Linked DNA regions of Lytechinus pictus. The protein of the gene in region 2 interacts with the protein of the main gene of each other region in a biochemical or structural test. Links are inferred from orthologs where the notes say so. Each region holds a gene or a part of one and is shown on either strand. Other genes may lie near its edges. The genes, in order: histone PARylation factor 1-like and poly [ADP-ribose] polymerase 2-like.

Region 1 (9,714 bases), on a different chromosome or scaffold from region 2:
TTTCATAATATGAAAAATACGTGTTTAGGGTGCTTTTCGAGACCCCATGGTCGCGCATGGTATCCACTCGCCAATGGAAGTGGCCCCTCCGGGACAAAACCTAACATTAAATCCCATTGCAGTTCCCAAGCACCCCCATTTGCAGAGGGCCATTTAGTTCTTAAGCCCCTCATTTCATAACAACTTTACACATACCGGTAGTTCTTAATGGTATGGTACTATGGTTTGGGGCCGCACAATTATACCCTTTCCAAATACAAGTGCCCCCCCTCCCCGATAATGACTAAATTACCTATAGTATCCAATGTGGTGTTGTTTCTTCTCATCACCGACCAAGACTGTCTGAAACTCGGGTGGATCATAGAAGAATCTATGGTGTAATAAATAATTGGGTCTTTGACCTTTGACACATTTCAGCCTGCCAGCCATGACATCATACGGACCACCAAGAACCAAGCCAACGTCTTCCTTCAATGCCTCTGTAAGATAAAATTTTTAAATGTTTTTAGATGGTCAGGCTGAGGCAAACATCACAAAAATATATATAATTACTAATTTTTATGAGTGGTTATAACTGAAGACTAAATTCAAAAGATCACCAAACAGGGGCAGGAATCAATTACATTCGGCATAGCACAGTCATATAATTAGTTGTTTTATACATTTAAACCTGACTAAAACTTTGGTAAAGGTTCAATCATACATCATCTAATATTCAAATCAATTTTAGTGGCGATCAGAACTCTTTTAAGCCAATGATTCTTTGTTAAACTTTACATGTGATTTCTTTTTAAATATCCAGTGCTCTTTCTTCACAATGTTTTATTGTTTGAAGGGCCTTTCGAGCAGCAATTTTCCAAATTTAGTGATTGGATATCAGAAAAATGAAAGAAAAAATGGTTTGTTTGTTTATCTTCAAAGATAAGTATGAGACTTTCTTGTGTATCATCTCTATTGCCATTTAACAAATAATTACACAATTATGGTATAAGTGAAGAAAATAGTTTTTACTGACTTTATGGTACATGACTTGAGATCTTTTCATCTGGTACATTTCATTAGCATGTTAAGAATAATTCCTTTTATTACAAAATTAATGCCACACTTGAATGATTCAGAAAAAAACGACTAAAATCAATTTACCAAAAAAATCAATGATTTGTGTATTGTGACAATAGATAAGGCCAGTGAGGGTACATGAACTCTTGAAGTTTAAGTGAACAATTTTCAAATATATACAGGTGGTCATTATAAAAGCAGGTTATCACATCGGCCGGTACAGAATATTGTTGAAATATTTCCCTCACTGCTGATCAAATTTGAGAAGTAAAATTCCCCTGACTTGATAATAATAATAAGAAATAAACACAACATCAAAAGAAAGTCACCCCTAACCCCTAAAGAACCCATCAAATCCTCCAATATAAAAACCCCCATAATTTGTGTTCATGTTGTGCTCTCACAGCCATTAACTCACTGATGTCACTCACTTTTTGAGAATCTGCTCTCTAACAACCCTGGCTATATATCCCAGGCTTAATTTCAAATTAGTTATACTGGAAGATTTGATGGGGTTCTTTTGGGGGAAACTTACTTTTGATGTTGTGTAGAGTTTGTTCATATTCAAATATAAGATATGATTTTTATGATCAACTTACCAGAAGGTTTAGCATTATTGATGCTCTTACAGTAATCCCAGAAATCAAAGAAATCTGGTGGCATCTCAACTTTGAACTTTAACCTCAGTTCCTCTTTGATGTCAATATTTGGAGGAGTACTAGGTATTTCATCAGCATCTAAGAAATGAATGAAAGTTGCATCAAATTAAAAAAAAGTGATATTACAATATTCTTTTTTCTAGGCCTACATGCAATTTATCTCTCTTTTTTGTATGTTGATTGCTTAATAATACTCTACAGGGAATGTGAAATGACAAAAAATATCAATCAGTTCAGACATCTTACACATCTTGTATCTAAATGCACACCAATCAAACCTATAATGACACTTAATATCATTCATTAAAAAAAATATAAGTTGTTTAATGGAGCTATATACCATACTGAATAAGAAATAAACAATTGGTTTAATTCTGCACCCCTCCTAGTTTATGAATGACCAACTTCTTGTCCATTTTCTTAATAAGACAAATATACATGTACATGTAGTAGATCTCATTATCATTTGATGAAATTAATTCAATTCAATTCAATTCATTTATTTCACTCGATAAAAATAACATATATACAGGTAAATAAGAAATACATGACAAGAACAAAACAAAGTAACAAAAAATGATAATACAGTAAATAGTGTACGAAACAGGCTTTGAGTGTGGACTGGCATTAAAGATCTGTTGGATCTTAGAAGTTCCAGCCCAGTAAAGAAAGAAAAACAAGGGATACAACCTCTGATGCTGTTTCTTTGTTTATCAGGGTCTTAATTGCAAAACAATTTGCAATAAAATGTAACTTGATTCTCAAGAAATCATAAGCATGCATTATGAGACTGTAATTGAATACAAGGCCAATATTAAACTTTTTCATGAGTAGCTACCTGAAAGTGATATATGTGATACCTATCCCCTTGTCTATTTTACAGCTAATCTTCATGAAGATTCTTCTAATTAATTCTAAATTCATTTCATATTTGTTTCAAAACATACCTCTTGGAGAAATACCTGCGCCCTGCAGCCCCTTCCCCACCTAGCCAGGAGGCTCATAGAGAGTAAAAATCATTCACTTAATAAACGTAAGAGTAAACTATCGTTAGTGAATGATTTTTACTCTCTAGTCTATAGGAGCCTCCTGGCCTGCCTATCCAGGATCCTTGCCCCCATCCTATAGTGATGCAGTTACCTTCATTTTCAAGAGGACATGTTTCTTGTAAATCTTCTTGAATTTCTTCAGTTTCGAGATCTTGTACTTCAGTTTCGCTAGAATTTTGATCCTGATCCTGCTTTTCAGAACCTGTCAACTTTTGACGTTTGGAGGGTTGACTTGCCAAATCCTGATCCTGTAACATTAAAATTGAAAAGAATACAAGATTTGTCATGATTTATCATTTGATTCACAATAGAGCAAGCAAAATTGCAAATGACAAGAATTTGGACAGTGAATTAGCATCATAGGCATAGTGACGTACACCTGGTGACGTAAGAAAATTAGCTCAAAGGCAAATTTTATAAACTCGACATCACTACACCATCATTACCTCGGGCGAAGTTCGTGCAGGCTCCACTCCACTTCACTACCGCTACACTACGCTCCACCTACCCGAACTTTGGGACGGTGAACTCGATCGGATATTCCGAGTGACGAAGGTGGGATCAAAAACTGGTTTATTGTAAAAATTAAAGAAAAAAAAAAAAAAATAGAAAGAAAAATAGCTTAATTTCTTACTCTTTACCCTTATTTCACTCCGTGTCCATCCTCCGGTTATCCTCAAAATTTGTGATTTTGGGCCAGTATCAAATTCCTCACACGTATTATTCACGGCCGATTTCAAAACATTGCATGCAACGAACGTAGAGGGCAGAAAAGCCAGAAACACACATCAGTGTTGCTATTAGGAAGGTCCACTCGATACGCGCATACAATGTTTTGAAATCGGCCGTGAATAATACATGTGAGGAATTTGATTATGGCCCAGAATCACCAATTTTGAGGATAACCGGAGGATGGACACGGAGTGAAATAAGGGTGAAGAGTAAGAAATTAAGCTCTTTTTCTTTCTCGTTATATTTTTTTTCTTTAATTTTTACAATAAACCAGTTTTTGATCCCACCTTTGTCACTTGGAATATCCGATTGAGTTCACCGTCCCGAAGTTCGGGTAGGTGGAGCGTAGTGTGGCGGTAGTGAAGTGGAGCTTGCACAAACTTCGCCCGAGGTACACCATCATCAGACTATCCACACTGTGCAGACCTGTCCTGACATTTTAAGCAAACCTGAAACCAATTTAAAAAAATATATAAATATTCAATGATGAATATTTGACGGAATAAAGCCATATATGTATTTCCACTTCCCCATCATATATGTTCGATATTAGGCCAGGGCTAGATATATTATTCTGAACCTTCTCCATGTTTTTATTTTCAATTTTTAGTGGGGGGTGCATATGGAACTCTTAGTCTCTTACCAATATGTAACTTATTGATGTTCATCTTAATTTTTAATCTTAATCGAAATCAAATGTTATCTTTCTTACCGATTCATCATCTTCATTCGTGTCATTTGCATTTGTTTTCCTTCCTGGATGATTAAATTTCTTGAGATGTTCCTCACTCTTCCTGTAGCATTTTGTCCCATATTTGCAGTCATGATTCGACGCCATGTTCTAAAGATAAGCTGTAAACTCGTCTTCGATTTCGTTTTAGGTCTACATAGAACCTAGATAAATCTAGATAGTATCAGAGGCTAAAGACAATTGAGTCTAATTTCCTTCTAACATTTTGCATTTGCATTGCATTTGGTTGATTTCACGTTGTTTACAAGTGTGCGGCGCGCGCAATATTCATACTATAGGAACGTTTGAAGGATTACGTAGTAATCTAATTTTACACTGTTCATTATTTATTGATTTCAACCACAAAAAAATAATTACTGGATATTTCGAATACTATAATATTACAATCGAAATGTCTTTTTGTTAAAAATATATAAATACAAATGAAGAATACTACCAAAGGACGTGCAAAAACATATCACAAAGTCTTGGAAAAGGTCGCAAGATCTTTATGGTCACCTGATCAAATCCCAGATCGAATGACGTCAGAGTTGCTTGGTTTCTGACAACAGTTTATCGAGGATCCGGAAAAAAGGAGTAAATCTTCATCAAATTCTTGTATAGTCACGCAACATGGTTCGTATTTTAATTGGTTTCATGTGAATTTTACACGTTAGTAGATTTAGGATTGTGATAGTAATGAAAGTAGGACTACTGCTTGTTCTGATTTTTTTAACGTGCATATCGGCCATGGCATTGGCATTGCATTGCCGAATTGCATCGCGATGCGATGTGAACTTAATTAATTGGCATTATACCGTGGCCTGGCATTGCATGCAGAGAGCCGAGTGTGAATAATGCTGAGTGAGAGAGGAGGGGTTGACCAGGCGCGGATGGGGGGGGGGGGGGGTGATCACAAAAGTCAAAATTGCAACAAATGACAATGTCAAAGAGAGAGAAAGAAGAAAAGAGACTTACTCTCAGAGAAAAAAGAGAAGAATTTCAGAATCAGAGAGTGTTTTACTTAGCCAATAATAGGGTGTCTGGAGAAAAAAATTATTTTTCTTATTTCAAGAAAATATCACGTTTTCTTTGTGAATTTGAAGAGAAATGACCTTCAGACTGACAGAAATGTAAAATTTTTGAAAAAAATCCAATTATTGGCTGCAAAAAAGAAGAATGAAATTAGGTAAATTTTCAGCATTTCTCTGCCATAGACTGTGTAGTTAAGAAATGGACACACACAAATCCAAATTTTTAGCTTCCGAGAGCTGTTATAAATTTATTATTAATGCCAAAAACTTGTCCATAAAGAGTCCAATAGGATTTTTTATGCTCTATCTGATGGTATGATTTTTATAAAGATTTGGAAACCAGATCACAATGAAAAATTGCGACAAAATGAAAAAAATTGTGCAAAACAGAAATTTCATTTTCCCATAGAAAACGCATGGAGAAATGGCAATCTCAACACACACAAAAATAAGGGTTTGCAATTTATCTCTAAATCCTTATTTAAAATGATCATATAAACTTGTCCTTACTGTCAAAAGAAGCCCCTGAATTTTCTCTTTCCATACATGCCAAACACAAGTTAATAATCAATTCAGATCACATTTTTCTAGTAGCCTGAACTTCCCCGAAAAAATATGCCATATTTTCCCCTAAATTAGCCTGTTTTATGCTGACACTTTTCAGTGTGGCTTCAGACACCCTACCAATAATGCCATGCCATGGTATTACTATAGTAAGCTTGTAACCGATTTTGCAATCGGCAACCGATTCCATTCGATTTCACCACAATCGGCAATCACTTGCCGATCTTCGATCATGCCCCTTGAAGGAAAAAAATCGAAAATAAAAAATCGGCGTAGATCTGGTTACAGTGCGTGATCGCTCAGAACATATTTCAAGATTGTTTTTGAGGTGCTAGCTATTTAGAGGTCGCATTATTCAGGGAGAAAGACGCGGTATTATCTATGGCGATGTTTAAGAGGATAGATATCTTCTCTTCCAACTCATGGTGATAGCGGATGCCGCCGTGAACTTTGAAAGGTCGTATTACCGACGGAGCTCACTGCGTTACTCTCTTACATCGTTTATGATTATATACATTTTATTTTCAACCTCGTGGTGATAGCGGATGCCGCCGTGAACTTTGAAAGGTCGTATTACCGACGGAGCTCACTGCGCTACTCTCATACCCCCTTTATAATGATATAAATATTCTCTTCAACCTCGTGGTGATAGCGGACCCCGCCATAAACTTTTAAAGACTGTACTATTGACGGAGCTTATTGAGTTACTCTCTTACATCGTTTATGATGATATACATTTTATTTTCAACCTCGTGGTGATAGCGGATGCTGCCGTGAACTTTGAAAGGTCGTATTACCGACGGAGCTCATTGTGTTACTCTCTTACATCGTTTATGATGATATTCATTTTATTTTCAACCTCGTGGTGATAGCGGAAGCCGCCGTGAACTTTGAAAGGTCGTATTACCGACGGAGCTCACTGCGCTACTCTCTTACCCCCTTTATAATGATATAAATCTTCTCTTCAACCTCGTGGTGATAGCGGACCCCGCCATAAACTTTTAAAGACTGTACTATTGACGGAGCTTATTGCGTTGCTCTCTTACATCGTTTATGATGATATTCATTTTATTTTCAACCTCGTGGTGATAGCGGAAGCCACCGTGAACTTTGAAAGGTCGTATTACCGACGGAGCTCACTGCGCTACTCTCTTACCCCCTTTATAATGATATAGATATTCTCTTCAACCTCGTGGTGATAGCGGACCCCGCCATAAACTTTTAAAGACTGTACTATTGACGGAGCTTATTGCGTTGCTCTCTTACATCGTTTATGATGATATTCATTTTATTTTCAACCTCGTGGTGATAGCGGAAGCCGCCGTGAACTTTGAAAGGTCGTATTACCGACGGAGCTCACTGCGCTACTCTCTTACCCCCTTTATAATGATATAAATATTCTCTTCAACCTCGTGGTGATAGCGGACCCCGCCATAAACTTTTAAAGACTGTACTATTGACGGAGCTTATTGAGTTACTCTCTTACATCGTTTATGATGATATACATTTTATTTTCAACCTCGTGGTGATAGCGGATGCCGCCGTGAACTTTGAAAGGTCGTATTACCGACGGAGCTCACTGCGCTACTCTCTTACCCCCTTTATGATGATAGACATCTTCTCTTCAACCTCGTGGTGATAGCGGACCCCGCCGTGAACTTCAAATTGATTTGAAAACGCTAGCTACCCAAAACATTTTAATAACATATTTCAAATCATCGTGCGTGCTTGCGTCTTTTACTTCATTTTAATTGCACTTGCGACTTTAAGATGATGCGTCGTAAGAGATCATTCCAATAATTCTAAATCGCTAGCACCTAAAAATACTTCTAAAAGATGTCCCGCCGATCGTTCATTAACCTGTGATCTATGAGAAATATTTTCATTTTATTTTCCTTTGCGCCTTTGCTCGGAAGATGCGTCTTTCGTTTATCTTTCTAATAACAATCACTCGGTTTATTTTAAAGCAATAACACCTCAAAACCCCTGGCTTTAAAACATGTTCCAAACGATCGCGCATGTTGGCGACTTCCATTCCAATGCATTCGTCTTTGTGACTTTGTCAGGAAGATGCGCGCGACCGCGAAACACATTTTGATGTATTCCTTTGTTTTTAAACATCGCCGATTCGATTTTCGATTCGATTTCGATTTTAGAAGCTTAACTGCCGATCCGATTTTCGATCTGATTTTTGATCCGATTTACAACATTATACTATAGTATAGTAGGCCTACCCCCTTTACCTTTAGTAAACTTCAACATGTTCAAGGCCTTCTTTTGGGGGGGGGGGTCTTGTCAAGTACGATCCGAGGCCCTGCTTGGGACAATTTCCATAAGACAACTTCCATGATTGTCATAACTGGTCATTATCGTGAAATTGGGAACCACCGTTCACTTTGTACAGTAGCGCTTTATTCATTCACACGCACGGTTCCCTATTTTCACCTCCATTCACAGGCGCGCATGCGTATATAAATCGACAAGTGGTTCCTGAAACCACGATTTGGCCCATTACTGTCACCATGCTCATAATAGATGTCTGTAGATGTGTATTCATGATCATGGTATCCCTCTGACTTTTTCAATATTTTTTCAGGTCAAGATATAAAAAATAATTGACTGTGTTGTAATTTGGTGACTAGAATATATAAATTGTATCATTGTAAGTTCTAAAGCAGGCTGGGGAAGGAAAGGAAGGGGAAAAAAGACAGTTGAAGAGAAAGAAAACAAAATTTAAAGGAGAAATATTGAGAAGAAGAAATGAATCGGGTTATTAAAAAGAAATAAGAAAAGTATAATTATTTGTAAGAAGAAAAGAAGATGGAAGTTGGGGGGTAGGGATGATATGATTGTAAAGAAGGAGAAAGAAGGATATTAAAGTAAGGAAATCTTCTGAGTTGATCAATGCTTTGAATTCATTAAATGAAAATCATAACAAATGTTGATTTTAATTGCAATTACATTCCATTTCTTTTGATTGTGAAATAAATTTCTGATTATAGAAAGTAAATCAGAATGATTCAATGTGCAATACAAGTAAAACCACTTTACATCATTGCATTAAAAAATTAGATTAAAAAACTATAATAATTACTTTACTCTGTCACCTGTCTTTCTGAGAAGCTTACTTTGCAAGTACTCCAAAAATATTTGTAGAACAATTGACATCAATGGCATGATTAGAAAAATTGAGATTCACAGTGAATATGGGCAGGGTCATTGTCGCCATGACCATTGTATTTATTTGTCAAATTTCTGTGTGAGCTCTATATATCGCAAATACGGATGAAGCGGTGGGTTCGGGGGATACATGTGCTCGGCTGCGCGACCTGCCGAGCATCTCTAATTCAAATATTACCTTATAATTAATTCAATTTAGAGTCCACAAAGAATGAAAGTTTGTATTAATGTAAGAAGATTGATAGAAAAATTTAGAAATGTAGCTATATGGAGCAAGATATTAAATGAAATATGAAAACCACCACCACCATCATCATCATCATCTGATTCAGAAAAATAACATAACTTATAAAGTTGTGAACAGTATTCAGATGGACTTCTGATGATTAATTGACATTAAATCTGCAGTTAAGTTGTTTTAATGAAAACTCGAAATGTTATTGTTAATTATTTAGTAGCTTGAGATTTCAGGGAATTGTTAGTGGTTTTGATATGTTTTCACTTCTAATTTGTTCTATTGAAATGAATTAAAAGGTTTACTTAGTAATCACTGTATATATGTAACTATTTTCTTCTTTTTTCTAATTAAGTATTTTAAGCATGAATATCACTTGTAAGTTGTAACATGTATTATAGTTTTGGGAGTTGGCAAGCAATATTTAGTAAACAGGTTTATTATTCGTATATTGAGTGATTATCTGCAGTCA
Region 2 (9,793 bases):
GAGATCCATTGACCAAGACTGTTTGGAAGCGTCCTGTGAGGAAGTGTCTTTCCCACTTTAGGAGCGATCCAGTAATGCCATATGATTGGAGTTTTCTCAGTAGTCGTTCGTGTGGAACCTTATCGAACGCTTTGGCAAAGTCTAGGAAAGCTACATGTACAGATTTTCCTTTCTCAAGAGCATTTGTTATGTCATGGATAGTAAGTACTAATTGGGTGGTAGTAGAACGTTTTGCTCTAAAACCATGTTGGTTGTCAACCAAGATTTCATGCATTTCCAAATGCTTCATAATATGGGAATGTACAATGTGTTCGAGGATCTTACAAGCAATACAAGTCAATGATACTCCTATAATTATTTGGATCTGACTTTTCCCCTTTTTTAAAGATAGAACAAATATTAGCCCTTTTCCACTGTAAATGTACATATACCCTCATTTATTGAGGACTGATATATATCAGTTAAAATTGGGGTTATTTCATTTGCTACCATTTTAAAGAGCCACGGAGGAAGGTCATCTGGTCCAGATGCCTTGTTAGGATTAATGTTCTGTAGTTGTTTAAGTACTCCAGATTCACTAATAACAAGTTTTTGTATTTCCGGTAGTTGAGTAGAGATTAGTGGTACATTTGTTACATCTTCTTTTGTGAAGTTGCTAACAAATACCTTGCTAAGAAGCACAGCTTTCTCTTTATCAGCACTTATTATTTTATTATTGATTAGAAAGTCATCAATACCAGTACTTTCTTTCTTTAATTTTGCAAATATAGACCAAAAAACCTTTGGGTTTTCTTTTAATGACATTAGTAAATTGTCTGTTATATACTCTGATTTAGATTTATTTAATTCTTTTCTAATTACATTGCAAAACTTTTTGAAGATATCCCAATCTTTGGGCAAACCAGATCTCTTTGCTTTATTATACAATCTTTGTTTTTTCCTACACATTCTCCTGTGTGTTCTTGTGAACCATGGTAAATTTCGTCTATTAGAAGCCAACTTTACTTGTACATGGTCCTTCATTATGGATTTCAGCTCTTTTTCCAAATTATCCCATTTATCCTGCGTTGAGCAGTTCATAAAACTTTCCCTGTACTTCTTACAAAACTGGTTTATTCTTTCTTTAATTCTTTCCTCATCAGCTTTCTGTCTTTGGAAAATTGCTCGTTTAGGTTTACAATTCCTTCTTACTTTAACATTGATACTTGATTCTACTATATCATGATCACTAAGCCCTGCGATGACATTTACGTCTTGGACGACAGCAATGTTATTTGAAAAGAAAAGGTCTAATATATTGTTTTCCCTTGTTGGGCTATTTACTAACTGTTCTAAGCCATTGCTAATTTAGGGACAGTGATTTTCCGTTTCAAAAAGTTGCCTTTTCCGTTTCAGAAAATCTCAAATTCCGTTTCAGCATGTCAGAAAACGGAAATTCCGTTTCCCCCATAGACTTTGTACACACGGAAAAGTGACAATTCCGTTTACACATTGAATACCGTACACTCGCACTGGTCAAAATTTGTATCTGCTACTGTACCAACAACGCAATAGAATCCGTTCTAATCGGATCTATGTGGGTGCATAAAATATTTTTCCAACCCCATTTAGCATGCATACATCCTCACCTTTCACATTATTAGCATTATTTCACGGTGAAATGATATTTCATCGATAATTTTGGGGTTTTTTGGACATCGTTATCATCAGTCAACGGCTTTTGCCAATCCGCCATCTTGGATTTAAACCACGATATCGTGCTGTTACATCTTCAAACGTAGAGGGCAGCAACACACGACCGTGCAGTGAACGATATGTGTGTGCATGTGAAGCCCAACCCGGCGCCGGCGGCAGGGTACGGGTACGGTGCGGGGTACAATCAAGTGTGCTGATGTCGAGTGCAGTCACGATGTGTGAATTGTCATGAAAGTAGCGAAGTGAGATCGTGTTTTCTGGGGTTTTGTGGCCATTTAATATTATCATTTTGTTGTGATTTTGGAGTAATTTCTGTTGCTATTCTGTGTATTTTGAGGGAAAATACGTTTTCCGTGATTTTCCGTTTGAAATGACACTTTCCGTTTCAAAACACCCTTTCCGTGAATTCCGTCCGTTTTCCGCGATCGCGGAAAATCACTGTCCCTACTAATTGTAACATCTAATAATGCTTCAGCAGTTTCTTTTGAGGCTGAACCTGTTTGCAATACAATTGCCTCTTTCCAGTCAATTTACTTTGATTAAAATCTCCTTGGATGATGACATCATAAGGCTTAACATGAGCATTTATCAAGTCAAGTGATTCTTTAAGAGAATACACAGTAGTCATATCATTGTGTTTAGGTTTATAGACCGTAGCCAATAAAATTGGTCTTCTACGTATTAGGTTAAGTTGACACCATATAATTTCTGTAGTCAGGTATTCTCACAATTGGCAAATTGGTTTTATGCATGAGAAAAACGCCACCATGGGCATAGCTTTCTCTGTCCTTTCTATGCACTGTATAACCATTAGGCATGAATTCCGCATCTATCACTGAGGGACTCAGCCATGTTTCAGTATGGCAAGTTCCCCCAAGTCTGCGCAGTCCCCCTTGTCTGCGCACACGCGTATCTGCGCGATTCTAGTAAAAGAAGATACGTATAACGAGCATGAACTTTATACATGTAATACATAGACGGGTATCCATAAAAAATCTGACTCAAAATGGTGAAAAAATAATGAATTTAGGGCATTTCATGTGACGGCCTCAAAATGCAGCCTTTCTCATCAAAATCCCTGAATCGTGTGCAAAGTGAATGAGTGCGCAGACATGGGGGACCATTTTATTTTTCAATCTGAAAAAGACTGCCCGAGGTTTTTTCAAGAAAATCCTATATTTTCTTTCATTTTTCAATGAGAAATTTGGTACACTTACTCAAAATAATATAAGGAACATTATTAACTGAAAGATTTTGTGAAATAAGAAGAAATTCATGTTAAATCTTAACTCAAATTGTTAGGTGCCCAGACTTGGGGCCCACCATCAATTTTTTCATACCGAACACAACATCTGGCTGGTACATATGTATCAGTGTTTCCCATTCTGCTTTTTTATTAGAAAATTATTTTTCTTATTTCAAGAAAATATCACATTTTCTTTGTGATTTTGAAGACAAATGACCTTCAGACTGACAGAAATGTAACATTTTTGAAAAAAATCCAATTATTGGCTGCAAAAAAGAAGAAAGAAATTAGGTCAATTTTCAGCATTTCTCTGCCATAGACTGTGTAGTTAAGAAATGGACACACACAAATCCAAATTTTTAGCTTCCGAGAGCTGTTATAAATTTATTATTAATGCCAAAAACTTGTCCATAAAGAGTCCAATAGGATTTTTTATGCTCTATCTGATGGTATGATTTTTATAAAGATTTGGAAACCAGATCACAATGAAAAATTGCGACAAAGTGAAAAAAATTGTGCAAAACAGAAATTTCATTTTCCCATAGAAAATGCATGGAGAAATGGCAATCTCAACACACACAAAAATAAGGGTTTGCAATTTATCTCTAAATCCTTATGTAAAATGATCATATAAACTTGTCCTTACTGTCAAAAGAAGCCCCTGAATTTTCTCTTTCCATACATGCCAAACAAAAGTTAATAATCAATTCAGATCACATTTTTCTAGTAGCCTGAACTTCCCCCAAAATATGTGCCATATTTTCCCCTAAATCAGGCTGTTTTATGCCGACACTTTTCAGTGTGGCTTCAGACACCCTATTTTTATTCTTGATACTTTGAAAATTTATACAGAGGCAATGTAGTTTATTAGTTGACGACTTCTTTTTAGAATAAGACTTTGTTTCGTCCATACTATTGTTTGAACTATCATCACTAAGACACTGACTATCTTCCTTCCTGGTTTTCTCCCTCCGCTGCTTTCGGAGATCAGCCCTATGATTATGAAGGCAATAGTATCCATAATAAATAATCATCCAGGGTTCAGAGTAGACAGGACAAGTCGTAAAGACATAGTTCATGCAGTTTAATTATGGTTATATGCAGGTTCTGAGCATGTATCAATATATTTCAATCGACACATATGAAGTTTATAGATAAAAAATAATGTCTTAATTAAGAAGACGTGTGGCAAAAACTTTCCTGACTCTTTCGTGAAACGGAAAGCGCTGATTTGTCGCCAATCTTCCTATATCTAGGAAGAATGGTCCTAGGACGTTCCCATGTATCGCTCATCTCGTCAGGCAACAGGCCCCGGAAGTCTCAACAATCTTTTGTTATTTTTGGTGGGGGGTGCATATGGAACTTTTTCCTAGTAGGCCATTACCATTATGGGCGCATGTAAATCTTGTACACACGTATCTAATTGGATTCATCAAAATTCTGTGACACAATAATTCGGATTGTAGTGTACGGTAGTCTACAGCAAGAATAAGTTAGAGCGCCTAGTCAAATCTACCAAGGCTTATCTACAAGATTTAGGTGTCTAACTTACTCTGGTTAATTATAATTACCTGCGTTGTTCTCACGTTTTGTCGACTTCTTCGTACTTTTTGCCATCCTGCAATATTTAATCCTTGTCTTGTCTTTTACAATTGTAATTGTATAAATTGTGCTGTCGAGGCCGAGGCGCTAGCGGCCAGATTCGGAGCTCCAATAATGTGCTCTCGATCGATCGCTCGCGCGCACATTTGACCAATCAGAAGCTAGCTAGCTCGATCTCGATTCTCGAGTTGAGTTACGGTAAATGACGTCATACACACACTTGTTTTCTTCAAAAAATCTGTCAATACACGTTTGTGTAATTATCAAAATTAGACGACTGACACTGTGATCAACGTCATGATGGTGATGCTGCTTCTTCAAACCTGAATTGGGCCAGAATAGTGTGACTACCGTAATGCAACTTTCCTGACTAGTTGTGTGAGGTCAGTGCTAAAAAACTCTGATATTTACCCGGGGATTTAGCTCATGTGCAAATCGAATGATTGCATCACAGATTTGTGATAACCCCACTGGATTTGTGTGCGGAGAGATTGCATGAGCGGGTAATGGTCACTCACACTAGTGCGAGGTTAACAGTTAGCTTTATATAGGCTAGCAATATAGGATGGGGGTCGGGTGTCCGGACACTTTATATTTTTGAAGCCTTCTTTTTTTGTCTTTGGACTACACTAAAACATTAATTCAATAGTTGTAATCATCTTCTATTTTGTTCTGTATACTATAATATTTCCAAAGACCAAACTACTAAAAATAAATGTTTAACATTTTGTGTACTAAATTTCTAAAATTGATGAAACTTCGCTTGTATTTTTTCCAAATGACTTTCTATTGCATTTTGCTTTATCTAAATTGTATTAACTTTTAAATGTATAGCCTTCTTAATGCATTTTACTATGGTTTTTACTGTGTATTTAATTGTGCCAACACCAACTTCAACTTGTAAACATGATTTTTCCAGCTCTTGCTGTTTTTTCATGTATGATTAAACATGATTGATTATCAATAAGGACCATTTTTTAAAATAAGTATGAACATAATTGATGCAGAAATAAAGAAATAAGTTGAACAAAAACTTTAAACATTTTCGAACAGACATATTACTAGGTCTCTGCTGAAAAAATGAACTGTAAAGAAAATAAAGTAACAAAATGAAAAGAAGAATGAAAGAAATCATAGGAAAAAAAAGTAAGAAAAAAGGATGAAAGTAAGAATGAAGGAAAGAAAAATGTAAATTCATTGAAAGAATGAAAGAAGAAAAGCAGGGAGGAAAGAAGGGAATAGCAATGAAGGAAAAAAGAATAAGGGGAAAGGAAGAAGGAAAAAAAAGAATGAAAGAGGGAGGAAAGAATGAAGGGAGGAGAGCATGAAAAAAAAAATAATGGAAGGAGAAAAATGAATGAAAAGGAGAGGAAGGGAGAAGAAAGCAAAGAACAATTTAATGGAAGAAAATATGAAGAAAAGAAAGAAAGTAGGAAAGAAAAAAAGAACGAGGGACATGAAGCAAAGAATGAAGAAAATAAATGAACACAGAAAGGAAGGCCAGGAAATTATAAGAAATACACTAGAGATCAGGGTGACCAGATTTCACAAAATGAAATACAGGACAATTGGCAAAGCACTCTGCATGAACGGATCGACAGAGCCAGGTCTTAAAATAAAATAAAAAATCTACAAAGGAGGCTACACAGTGTTACTACTTGTGAAAAAAAAAGAATTGGAAGGGAGGGTGAACAAAAGAATGAAGGAGAGAAAGAAAAGTGATGAATTGAGAAGAAAGAAAAAAAAATGAAATTAAAAGAAAGCTAGTAATAGTATAAAAGATTGATGAAAGAAAGAATAAAAGAGAGAAAAAAAGGTTTCTGTCATTCTTTGAAATGAATATAGAAAGAAAGAAAAAAAAAGGAAGATTAATAAATGTGTGAAAGAAAAAGAATAGGAGAGAAACTAAAAGAAAGAAATAAGGAGAAAAGAATGAAGGAAAGAAAAATGTTTCCTTCATTCTTTAAAAGAAAGAAAGAAGAAAAACAGGAAGGAAGGAATTAGGATGAAGGGAAAGAATGAATAATGGAAAAGCATTAGAAGGAAAAAATAAAGTAAAGAATGACAGAGAGGGAGGAATGAGATTGGAAAGGGAGGAGGGAATGAAAAAAAGAAAATAATGGGAGGAGAGAAAGAACAAAAATAAAAAGGAGAGAAAGGGAAATGAGAAGCAAAGAAAAATTTAAGGAAATATAAAAGAAATTTAAAAAGAAGGAAAGAAAGAAAAATGAAAAGATAGAGAGAGAGAAAGGATCAGGAAAGAAAGATAGATGGAAAAAAAAGGGAAAGCAGGAAGGATAGAAGAATGAAAAAAGAAGGATAGAAAAGAAAGACAGAGTAAACAAGTTACAAACTTGAAGCAAACCAAAAAAATCCAATCTAACAAAAATAATACTGATATTTGGTGTTTTTAATATGTAAAAAAAAATGTTTTAGAAATGAATAAAATTTCAAAGTGAAACATTGTCAAACTTCAAAAATTAGATGAAACATCACGGCATCGTACACAGGCATCCCATTACAAGTTCGCACCGATCACAACAGGACTCAAAACGAAAGTTGAAACAACTATAACTCAGTAACTTGTTCCTCCGATTACATCTCCAAATCAGTAATCTGAGAATCCATATAATCATTAAAAAAATCCTGCCGATTCTGTGATTGTTTTGGTGGAAAAACTGTTTATCATGTGAGATTGTTTGCACCATTGAGAATCTGCTCCGATCCTACATGCCTAGCCGCGTTAACCTGCCACACACAGGCAGGAGGCCATGTTCGTTTGCACTGTGGGTTAGCAAGAAAATCACCACAGAAATTGCAAAAGTTTACAGTTATCGATTTTTAGTTGTCTCTGCTTCGTCATCTGTTGATTATTTGATGAAAATTTGTCACTTTTAAATGTATTAACTATATTTTGTTCAATATTCTGAAATACGGGACAAATAGGCGTCCCGGGAAGGGTTTGTCGGGACAAAGGAGCAAAATACGGGACGATCCCGGGAAATACGGGACGTCTGGTCACCCTGCTAGAGATAGATAGAATGGACAAAAGGAATTCAGGAAGGATAGAAGGATGAAGAAATAAAGAAAAAGAAAAATCAGGAAGGATAGAATTATGAATTATTAATGAAAGAAAGAAAGAATAAGGGAAAAGAAAAAGAAGGAAGGAAAGAATTAAGCAAAGAGAATGAAAGCAAGAAAAGAATGGAGGAAGGAAAGAAGAAAGAAGGTAAGACAGAAAGAAAAAAAAAAAGTAGCCCGAGGAAGAGGGAAGGGAGCAAAGAAAATTTTAAGGAAAGAAAGAGAAAGGAAATAAGGAAGGAAAGGAAGAAAAATGAACAGAGAGAGAATAGATCAGGAAAGAAAGCTAGGAAAGATAGGAAATAAAGAGAGATGGAACAAAAAGGCAAGCAGGAAGGATAGAAGAAAGAAGGAAAAAAAGAAAGAAAAAACTTCAAACTTCAAGCAAACAAATTAAAATTCAGTCATCTAACAAAATTTACCGATACATTTTTTTTTAATTTATATTTTTAAATATTGTTAGAAAACTAAAATGTTTTAGAAATGAATAAAATTTCAAAGTGAAACATTGTCAAGCGTAAAAATTAGATGAAGCATCGCGGCATCACACGCACACAGGCATCTCTCTTCACATTAAAAGTTTGCACCGATCACAATTCACAAGACTCTAAACGGCTCGAAGCAAAAGCTGGAATAAGAAAACAACTAGAATGGCTTTATTTCTGCTTAGATCTTGATTTCATTGTTTGAATTCTCAGACTTAAAAAGCTGAAAATTTCATCAAAATCGGACAATAAATAACAAATTTATTGCATTTTAAAGTTTAGCAATGTTTTGTGAAAATAGTTCCATTAGTTCCATGTACGTCATCATGAATATTCATTAGGTGGGCTGATGATGTCACATCCCCACTTTCCTTTTGCTTATTGTTAGGCAGTGGCGTTCCATGGGTCACAGCATTGGGGGGGCACCAACAAAAATTTTGAGTATACTGACCTAATAAAGACATTTTTAGGGACAGTGATTTTCCGTGATCGCGGAAAACGGACTGAATTCACAGAAATGGCCTTTTGAAATGGAAAGTGGCATTTCAAACGGAAAATCACAGAAAACATAGTTTTCCTCAGAATACATAGAACAGCAACAAAAATTACTCCAAAATCTCAACAAAATACGATTATTAAATGGCCACAAAACACGATCTCACTTCACTACAATCATGACAATCCACACATCTTGACTTTATCAAACTCGATCGTACCCCTGGCCCTTACCGCCCGGCGGGGTACGTATAGGGTCAACGTCGGCCATATCGAAAACATTCACACGCACTCATCATGTTTTATTTTAACAACACGGTCGTGTGTTGCTCCCCTCTACAGCACGATATCATGTAGGGTATCATTTTAAAGACAATTAAATTATCTTTTTATTGGTATCAATTTCACATTAATATTCACAAAAACCGAGGAGGGATTACCAATCAAATTTAGATTACCAAATTTTTTTTGAGGGGTTTACAATAATTTCTTCTTTCTCTACTATGTTTCTTTCTTTCTCCCTCTTTTTCTCCCAGTTTGGGGGCTGTATTTAGGTAATTAGAGCAAATTTATTATTTTACACATAAATAGCATAATTAATTCATATAAAAAATCCTAATATTTCATAAATAATAAACATACAGTCTTGTAGATTTCATCGCACACTACCCTTGTGCAAATTTTTGCGGCAGTCGCACAATGTATGGCCAGGATCTCGGCTCGGGGGGGGGGGGGGAATTCATCCCCCTCCCCCAGGCTGTGAAATCGGTCCAAATAACTCGGCTCTATGATAGAACTGGTAAAGGAATATGATATTTTTTAATGGATGACCGTAGTGCAATAAAAAATTATTCCGTTTATAAACAAATAGACATTGATAAAACAAAATAGAAGTACATGTAAGTCTCCAGTGTTGCTTTGAAAATAGAATTTGAAATCCTTGTTTCAAGTGGTAGCTGATTCCAAAGAACAGAAGCCTTATGGGAAAAGGAGTTTCCCATTTGGGTTGGGTTGTTTGTGTTCCTGGTACTATGAGACCCAAGTTGTGCTGCCTGAAATTCTGTGTAAATGAATGGACTGGGATCTTACAAACATATTTTTCATTTAAATCAGATTTTCATCATTCAAAGAGTGGAAAGTCATCCTACTTTACAGAATATCCATAGATTTTCCAGTGATACCCATCTAA

The links.
Region 1: the proteins of poly [ADP-ribose] polymerase 2-like (region 2) and histone PARylation factor 1-like form a complex in vitro, tested with the Homo sapiens proteins (2 studies listed by BioGRID). The link is inferred for Lytechinus pictus from reciprocal best matches to the Homo sapiens genes PARP2 and HPF1.

Annotation. Positions count from the first base shown.
Region 1 is NC_087249.1:40,173,743-40,183,456, forward strand, and holds the start of histone PARylation factor 1-like, read right to left. Parts: upstream 4,771-9,714; 5' UTR 4,338-4,770; coding exon 4,212-4,337; intron 3,016-4,211; coding exon 2,859-3,015; intron 1,797-2,858; coding exon 1,659-1,796; intron 480-1,658; coding exon 293-479; intron 1-292. Other genes in the region: kinesin-2b-like, read left to right, coding at 4,863-4,865. UniProt on the Homo sapiens protein: Cofactor for serine ADP-ribosylation that confers serine specificity on PARP1 and PARP2 and plays a key role in DNA damage response.
Region 2 is NC_087246.1:38,748,614-38,758,406, forward strand, and holds the start of poly [ADP-ribose] polymerase 2-like, read right to left. Parts: upstream 4,686-9,793; 5' UTR 4,559-4,685; coding exon 4,513-4,558; intron 1-4,512. UniProt on the Homo sapiens protein: Poly-ADP-ribosyltransferase that mediates poly-ADP-ribosylation of proteins and plays a key role in DNA repair.